2 linked regions of the Caenorhabditis elegans genome follow. The protein of the gene in region 2 interacts with the protein of the main gene of each other region in a pairwise test. Each region holds a gene or a part of one and is shown on either strand. Other genes may lie near its edges.

The links.
Region 1: the proteins of F46C5.9 (region 2) and Y48G10A.2 interact in a two-hybrid assay, tested with the Caenorhabditis elegans proteins (one large-scale study listed by BioGRID).

The regions. Positions count from the first base shown.
Region 1 is NC_003279.8:13,484,325-13,489,494, forward strand, and holds the start of Y48G10A.2 (E3 ubiquitin-protein ligase UBR7), read right to left. Parts: upstream 3,045-5,170; coding exon 3,041-3,044; intron 2,987-3,040; coding exon 2,640-2,986; intron 116-2,639; coding exon 1-115.
Region 2 is NC_003280.10:8,808,010-8,812,533, forward strand, and holds F46C5.9 (WD_REPEATS_REGION domain-containing protein), read right to left. Parts: upstream 2,721-4,524; 5' UTR 2,713-2,720; coding exon 2,588-2,712; intron 2,538-2,587; coding exon 2,180-2,537; intron 2,135-2,179; coding exon 2,008-2,134; intron 1,961-2,007; coding exon 1,731-1,960; intron 1,684-1,730; coding exon 1,544-1,683; intron 1,356-1,543; coding exon 1,213-1,355; intron 1,016-1,212; coding exon 783-1,015; 3' UTR 627-782; downstream 1-626. Other genes in the region: F07H5.10 (Decapping nuclease), read right to left, coding at 29-162, 214-309, 361-573; rer-1 (Protein RER1 homolog), read left to right, coding at 3,366-3,428, 3,482-3,586, 3,697-3,792, 3,838-3,923, 3,979-4,114, 4,163-4,252.

The sequences.
Region 1 (5,170 bases), on a different chromosome or scaffold from region 2:
GTCCTCCAGATTTAATGATCATCGCATTGTCAACTGGATGAGATTTATCGAGTCTGCACACTTCCTCCATATCCATCTCCAATTTCCCGCCGATTTCACGAGAAGCGGTCAGAAACTGAAAAATTTGTTTTAAATTAAAGGTGCACTCTCACTGCAACTTTTTTTGAACGAGGGACGAGGAAAAGCGGTTTCTAGGCCATGGCCGAGGGGCCGACAAGATTTAGCGGCAATTTATCTTGCTTTGTTTTCCGCGTGTTTTCTTTTATTTTTCACAGATTTTTCCCGTTTTTTTCTTATTAAAACTGATAAGTAAATATTTTTTGCAGATGCTAAAACAATTTACAAGTGAAAAAATTGTGTATTCAGTCGACAAGAAGTGATGAAAGTGGTCAATGTTATATGATGGATTACGGGAATACTAAACCTAAACTTTTTTCCAAACATGATACATATGCTGCATAGATGCTGAAAGTACCTGATTTTCATAACGAGACCGCTGAAAAAGTTTTGAGGTTTTCAAAATTCAACTTTTTGTGCAAAAATTTCTACTTTTTCACCAAAAACGTTGAATTTTGAAAACCTCAAAACTTTTTCAGCGGTCTCGTTATGAAAATCAGGTAGTCTCAGCATTTAAGCAGCATATGTAAGTTTAGGTTTTGTATTCCCGTAATGCATCATATTACAATGCCCACTTTAACCGCTGCTTGCCCACTGAATACATAATTTTTTTACTTGGAAATTGTTTTAGCATCTGCAAAAAATATTTACTTATCATCTGTGAAAAATAAAAGAAAACACGCGGAAAACAAAGCAAGATAAATGGTCGCTGAAACTTGTCGGCCCTCGGCCACGGCCTAGAAACCGCTTTTCCTCGTCCCTCGTTCAAAAAAAGTTGCAGTGCCTCTGTGGGGAAATTGCTTTAAAACATGCCTATGGGGTCACAATCAGGGGTGAGCGGCAATCGGCGATCGGCGATCGCCGATGAAATTTTATAGTCCAAGATAGACCCCTCTGAAGAAGGAAAAAAGGAGTGCTTTTCGTTGCCTAATATTCCTGTTTTTATAAAAAATTATTTGAAAGAGCTCTTAAAATTAGGATTTTAAAATTGAAAAAAATTAGACGCACACTGATCGGCAATCGGCAATCGGCAAGCGGCGATCGCCGATTTTTTTTTGGCAATTTGTGATCGCCGATCGCCGAAAAAAAATTTCCATCGGCGATCGGCGACTTTTTTGGGCGGCTGCTCAGCCCTGGTCACAATGGCCAAATAGCATGATTAAAAAATTCAAAAAAAATTTCTCAATTTTATATGATTTTTTTTTGAAAATTGAAAAAATCTCAGTTTTCCCCCTAATTCCTATTTGAATTACCGCCAATTGAACTCGTTCGATGGAGCGCGCTTGCATTATTTTTATTACTTTAATTTATTTATTAACATTATTTTCACTGATTTTCTTCCCTTTTTTTTGTGTTTTTGATGGGAATTGGAATGAAAAACCAAGATAAATGCAGAATGTTTGTTAAAAATCACTGAAAAAGCGTAAAACTGTACTCATTATTTTACTGTTTTACGTATTTTCAGTGATTTTGCAAACAAACATTCTGCATTTATCTTAGTTTTTCATTCCAATTTCCATCAAAAAAAATACAAAAAAAGTGAAGAAAATCAGTGACATAGTGTGAATAGATGAAATACATTTATAAAAATAATGCAAGCGCGCTCCATCGAACGAGTTCAATTGGCGGAAATTCAAATAGGAATTAGGGGAAAAACTGAGATTTTTTCAATTTTCAAAAAATCATATAAAATCTAGAGAAATTTTTTGAATATTTTAATCATGATATTCGGTCATTGTGACCCCATATGCGTGTTTTAAAGCAATTTCCCCACAGAGTGGAGTACACCTTTAAAGGAGGACTAACGGTTCGGACGATTTTGAACATATAGACCCAAAATGAGCTCAAATGAAGGAATTTCGCAATGAAACTGCTCAAAAATTTTTTATGGCGGTTCAAAATTTTGAAAAAAAATTACACTGATTTTAGCTAAAATCACGAATTTTTCTCTTTTTTTCGTGCCACATCCATCCGAAGTTGTCTTTTTTGGAATTACCGTCCTTTATTACATATATTGGTAGTTTATCTCATTTAATTTCGTCGATTAAAGTACATTTATCGGCGATAGGTAACCAAAAATCATCGAAATTGGTTACCTATCGGCTTTGAATGTACTTTAATCGACGAAATTAAATGAGATAAAATACCAATATATGCAATAAAGTACGATAATTCCAAAAAAAGCTAACTTCGGATGGACGTGACACGGAAAAATGGGAAAAAATCGTGATTTTAGCTAAAATCAGTGTAATTTTATCAAAATTTTGAACCCCCATAAAAAATTTTTGAAAAATTTTTGAGCAGTATCATTACGAAATTCGTTTATTTGAGCTCATTTTGAGTCTATACGTTCAAAATCGTCCGAACCGTTAGTCCTCCTTTAAAGGTGTACTCCACTCTGTGGGGAAATTGCTTTAAAACACGCATATGGGGTCACAATGACCGAATATCATGATTAAAATATTCAAAAAATTTCTCTAGATTTTATATGATTTTTTGAAAATTCGGAAAAAAGCCCGTACCGCGAGCTTATCGGCCTTAAGCAAATAGGCCTTGTGATGAGCATGATCTCCAAGAAAAGCACACGCTCCACACAAAACTCTCTCTTTTCTGTAGAAAAGTGTCGGAGACTTGACGGATTCCTTCTGCTTCAACGCGTAACCGCATCCCGGATAGGTGCACGCGAAGAATTGGCTGTGCGGAGCCACTTGCAAGCACATTGAGCACGTTGCGATGGTATCCGAGTACGCCGAGCACTCTTCAACGGGATTTTCGTCCACACTTTCTTGATAATTTGTGATATCCGGCAGACTCGACGTTTCGCCGTCCGGCATTCGCTCGAAATTCTCGATTGTGTGAGAGTTTCGCACTGAAAATCGTGAATTTCATATTAATTTTATCATTTTTCATCGGAAAAACTTACTCATTGTACAAATTTGATCCGTTAGTTGATCGATTATTTCCTGAAACTACATTTTTCGTGAGATTTTTAGGTAAAAATTGAATAAAAACGCTGAAAATAATTTTTAAAGTCGATTTTATCGGGAAAAAACCAAGAAAAACTCTGAAAATCGGCGGAAAAACAAGAAAAAATGGGAAAATTAATTAATTCGAAAATTTTAAACTTAGCAAGCCGTTCTCTGCGTCTTCACTCTCTCGCGCGTGCCAATGGAGCGCGTTTGCACTATTTTTTTTTTAATTTGAGGGGGTACGTTTTCGTAAGGGGATTTTTTCGTAAGGAACGCTTTCAGTAGGGTAATGTGCGGCGCGCCTTTTCGCAAGCCCGCCGCACAGTCCTTCGCAATGCGCCGCACGGCTTTTTGCAATGCGCCGCACGCTTCTTCGTATTTATTTATTTTTCCAACAGGAAATTTCGAACGGAATTCAATTAAAAACGGATTTTTAATGGAAATTAATTAGTTTTATTCGAGCTAAATACGGATATTTTCAGAATTTTCGATGACAAAAACGGGTTTCAATCGATTTCGAATCGATCAAAATTAATATTAATCGAAAATGAGCGTTTCCTTCCCGGAAAAAGAAGAACTTGATGCTGAGAGTGATCCAGGCGGAGCCAAACGATTAAAATGATAGAAGTGATTTTTTATTCAGTCGAAATGGAAAATAAAACTGCAAACAAAAGTTAATTCGATTAAATTAAGTAAGAAAAATCATGGCGAAATTTGGATAACCTGAGTATGGAAAATTGTTTCTATAATCCAATGGCACAGAGGTAAACAAAGAGATCAGTGATAGCATTTCGGAATTTCCATAAAAGGGAAAAGTTTCTCATTAAAAGCACTGAAACCGGTATAATTCAAAAACACTGAAGTACAGAAATCGGGGTTTTTGTATAATGGCACAGCGGTTGTTCGATTTCCGGATCGTCTCTTCAAGTCTAGGATCAATGATTTTGATAGTTGAATGGTCTTTTGAATCACTCCTCGCAGGTTTTGATAGTCGTTGTGATGATACATTCTCTGGAAAACAAAACAAATCGATGTTATATACCTATTTGAGAACTTAAAAAACTACAAAAAGAAACTTGCCTTCAGCTTGGAAAATTGCTGCTCACTCGGGTTGTTTGTGAACGCTGAAAAATACTTTTCACTCTTCAATTAATCTTTAGACATCAATAATACTTGCCTCTAAAAAAGCGTTTGGCTCCGCTTGGATCACTCTCAGCATCAAGTTCTTCTTTTTTCCGGGAAGGAAACGCTCATTTTCGATTAATATTAATTTTGATCGATTCGAAATCGATTGAAACCCGTTTTTGTCATCGAAAATTCTGAAAATATCCGTATTTAGCTCGAATAAAACTATTTAATTTCCATTAAAAATCCGTTTTTAATTGAATTCCGTTCGAAATTTCCTGTTGGAAAAATAAATAAATAAATACGAAGAAGCGTGCGGCGCATTGCAAAAAGCCGTGCGGCGCATTGCGAAGGACTGTGCGGCGGGCTTGCGAAAAGGCGCGCCGCACATTGCCCTACTGAAAGCGTTCCTTACGAAAAAATCCCCTTACGAAAACGTACCCCCTCTTTAATTTCGCGAAAAATAGTTTTTTGCCGAAAATAGAGTTAATTAGGCTAAAAAGCTGTTTTACAATCAATTTTGTTAAAGAAAAACCGCAAAAAACCTGAAAATTGACGAAAAAAAGCCAAAAAAAAAAAAAATTTTGCTTTTTAGTTCTACGCAGGAAAAGTGCGGCGATGGGTTTAAAACTAGAGAAATATTAGAAATCGTTAAATTTAATAGTAGAAAATTACAAAAAACCTAGATTTTCTGTGGAAAATACACGAAAAACAACGAAAAACTTTGGGAATTAAATTAAAAATTCGAAATCTAGCAAATCGTTCTCTACGTCTCCACTCTCTACCGCGTGGCGATGGAGCGCGTTTGCTTTTTACTGATTTTAATTAATTTTAATTAATTGAATTTCAGCGTATTTTCGCTGAATTTCTAGTGTTTTCCCGATAAAAACAAATCGAAATTCAACGTTTCCACTAATTTCAAGCTTTTTTCCTCTATTTTCAGGAAGTATACGCAAAAA
Region 2 (4,524 bases):
TTAGTAAATTTTAAAATCGTTATATTACAAATCCATAGATTTATTAGCGCCAATGTAAATGTCTCCATTCAAACGAATTGCCATCAATTCCATTGGTTTTTGCTTTTGCATCACATCATCAATTGCACAAAGGACATAGCGACAACAGAGAAATCTCGTTTTCTGCAAAATAAAAATGAGTTTTTTTTTTCTTTTACATAAATATCCAATTACGAGTTCGGTGAATCGGCTCACTCGTGGACGTGGAATACGATCGAGAAATCTTGTTTTAGATTCAAACTCATAGAGATGGTAGATCGAATGTTGGTTCTGAATATGAATTATTGAAGAATTGCCGTGTTAAACTATGGAATGTCTTACAATAACACTTTTCGACTTAGGATCGTATCCCTCCAGAACATTTATATTGACATTTCTCTGGTTAATCATGTTCTCGATAAGCATCGGACGTGTGCTACATGCAGGTGCCACTGAATCATTGCAGGAAGTGTATTCTATATTGAGATTGATCACAGGTTTCGCTCTAACTCCCGTTGGGGGTCTGTTATCGTACGGTCGAGGAGGAAGACTCATCTATTTAGAAAGGAGTAATTTCCTAAATAAATGTTTCAAACATAACAAAATATAATTTTCACGGGATTTATAACAGAGAACGTGGGAAAAGCCATTAGATAAAGTTTACGTACACGTATTTATAAAATCAAATGATGCGAAGAAATAAATAAATAAACATAACACCGCTTTAGGAGGGAATTATTGGCACTTTACACGAATAAAATAAATTATTTTTCGAATTGCTTCAGAAGTTCCTGAGCCTCATCAATCTGCTCTTTGATACGGCGACGAGCACCTTCCTGTGTGATTTCTGGAAGCTCTCGGTTCAGTTTAACCACTCTGCTGTGCCACTCTGGAACATTCCGAATGACACGGACATATTTGTCTCCACATGTTGCAATATATTTTCCGTCAGAGGAATAGGCAATCGATGAAATTGTAGTCGAGCAGATGTCTTTCACTGAAAATTTGTAATGTGGTTTCAGTTTTCAAGAATCGTGGATTATTTACAATTAAACTGTTCTAAAATTAAACTAATTTTCGAAAATGAGCAAATTGACAATGTTCAGAAAGTTCAACAGAAAAAAAATCCGATATTTTAGAAAAAAGTTTTAAATAAATGTTTGATATTGAAAAATCCAATCAATTTTGTCTTACATTCCGGATAGTCCTTGGTTTCGTCTTCCGAAGCGAACACCTTCAAATCTGTCTTGAACGAAACTGCAAATGAGTCACCACTTGGGCTCATTTCTAATCGCACGTGTTCACTTGTGGCGGCATGCAGAGGAGCCCAGCTTCCCCTGAAAAATTGTTACTTTCTAGTGTGAATTCAATAAGACGCAGTGCTTAACAGAACACAATTTTATCATCAACTCGCCTCTCTTTCGCTATAGACGTCTACTCACTTTCGTTGCCTAGCAATCACCTATTCTATTTTCTCATTTTATCCCGCTATATAATTTCGGTTTCTCGCTTTTCTTTAACTCACTCTCTCAAAATTTTGGAATCTTGCCCAGCCTCATAGCGAATATCGGTGTCGAAAATGCGCCATTTTCCGTCTCTGGAGACTGTGACCGCACGAGTCGATGAGTTGTTGAAAGCAGCAGCAAGTACTCCAGATTGGTGACCCTAAAAATAATTCAGATGAAATTTTGGAAATCATGAATGTAGCTTACACTGAGACTGAACACTTTCTTGGCACTCTGGAATGTTCCATCTCTTGTAAAAATTGGCTCGAAAACAAATACATCTGGTGTGAATCCTGATACAATGATAAAACGACCATCAGGAGAGAGACGACAGTCATATAGACTGCTCACTTTAGCATCAATTGACTGTAGAAGTTGTCCGCGTAGATCGTAAAGACAAATTTTGTTATCGAGTGCTGCACTCATCAGGTATTTCGCTGAAAATTAAAAATAAATTGCCAAACAATTTTCGCAGTTAACTTACCGTTTCCGGCAATGCCAATATTTTGAATATCAACCTGATGAACTCTTTCAAATTCTAAATTGTCAATATGCACAAAATGATGGGATCCTGATCCTTCGGTTTTCTTAACGAGCTTGTAGACGCAAATCTGAAAAATTATGAATGTGTTGATCAAAATTCAATCATTGTATACCTTGTTTTCTCTTTTCACACTAAATACAACACTCTTACAATCCGGAGCAAATACTACACGAGTTGGAGTGTCATATTCAACCGTTTGTCTGATACATTTGTGTTCCTTGTTCTCAAAGTCTCTAACATCCCAGAGAATAACCGAACGATCTCCGGAAATTGATACAAACTTTTTGCCATCTGAAGCAAATGCAACATCTGTCACTTCTTTTTTATGTCCTTTCAATACTGATACGTTCCATGGATGAACGAATGTTGGTTCCTTTGCTTTCCATTGATCATTCGTTCGTTGGTGCTTATTCTTCTTCACTGGTTCCTCGCTAATAATCGTCTCTGTCACTTCATCCATTACAACGTCACTGAAATGTTTCATTAAAAAAACGTTCAATTCATTATTTTAATGACTTACACTTCTTCCTGTTCTCCTTGTTGCTCCTTCTTTGCTACGTAGATTATTGCTACTCCCATCACAGTGACAAAGCCAACTAATCCCCCGATCAGAATTGGTAGACTGACACTATCGATGTCAATCATGGTTTAATCTGAAAATATTGGAACATTACTAATATTGTATCATGAAAGAACCGAAAAGTAAGAATAATTCTCGCGATTCGAAAAGGAAGATTACGGTAGCCAACCAGCTTGCAATTTTTTAAATGCCTTAAATAAGTTTTTTTTCAAATATCAATGGTAACTATAGTGGTATATAAGGTACTCTTCTATCATTTTCCAAATGTAATCACGATAGAATATAAATAGAAATAGAAATACATTAGGATATCCCTATAGCAGTTTGAACACTTTCGATAACAAAAACTTCGCAAAACTGAATCAATCTTGTGAAATTCCCATTAATGCTCAAAACAATTCAAAGAAATAAATTTAGGTAGTTTCAGAATATTTTGCTATATAAAATATTTTCATTTTTTGATGAAAAAATAGCAAAAAATAACAGAAAACTTGAAAATTGAATTTATTCATCCTTAAAAGTTTTGAAGAGACAGTGTGCATTCTGCCGTCACCGTGTTTGCGTATATTTCTACGTGTACTTCTTTTTTAATCGAAATCAATATTTCCCAACTTTTCACGTATTTTCATCACGTCTATGAAGTTTTTATTCTCAATTAATTCTTGATTAATTTAAAAATTAATTTTTCAATTGTTCATTATCAATTTCATCAGGTAATATGGACGACGGACTTCGGGACAGGCCAGGTGTAACATCTCGTTTCTTTCACAGTTTGGAAGTGGTGAGTTAATTTTAATCAGAATGCAAATTGTGACTTTATTGATTATGTTGCAGAAGTATCAATACTATCTCGATCGTCTCACGCCACATACTGCATTCCGATGGGTTATCGCTCTGATCTCGCTCGTCTTCTTTGCGTCTAGAATTATTCTCTTGCAAGTAAGTGAGCACAAATAGAAAATATGTTAAAATTTTTCAAAAAAAAAAGTTCATCACCAACGAGTTATTTTTTTTTTCTTCAAGTCACGTTATAATTAATTTGATTTCAGGGATTCTACATTGTTGCATATGCTGTCGGTATCTACTATTTGAATCTCTTCTTGCTCTTTTTAACTCCATCAATTGATCCAGCTTTAGAGTTCGAGGTTTGTTATTTTATTTTGTTATGAAGTAAACATTATTTTCTGCAGGATGAAGATGATGGTCCAGTTCTTCCATCGAAAACAAACGACGAATTCCGCCCATTCATGCGTCGTCTGCCAGAGTTTAAGTTTTGGTTAGTCTTTATTATCTTGAAACGGAGAAAGTCATTCAAAATATTATTTTTCTAGGCACTCCTTCATGAAGGCCACTCTGATCGCAATCACTTGCACCTTCTTCGAATTCTTCGATGTTCCAGTATTCTGGCCAATTCTTGTCATGTATTTCTTCATCCTTACCTTCCTCACTCTCAAGAGACAGATTATGGTATGTTTTTTAAACTCGTCATTCTTTTCAAAATAATATGTATTCCAGCATATGATCAAATATCGATACATTCCATTCACAGTGGGAAAGCCACGAATGGCTGGAAAGGAAGACACCGGCAAAGTTGTCGTCGGTTGAAACGGGTCACTCTTAATCTGTCGTTCTTAGTCTTGTTTTAAAGTTTTTCGTAAAATATTAAAACAGTTTCATAATTCTAATTGTTATTTTGAAAGAATTATAGAAACACATATGACTTATTTATTCAAAAGCCAATGTTTTGAAACATCTCAAAGTAACGAGTCCCCGTATTAAATTATTTGCTTTCCTCCTGTTTTCCCTTTTGATTTTTTAATAGTTTATTGCTCTTTCACACAACGTTTCCTTCCAAAATCAGCTTTGTCTTTGCTCCA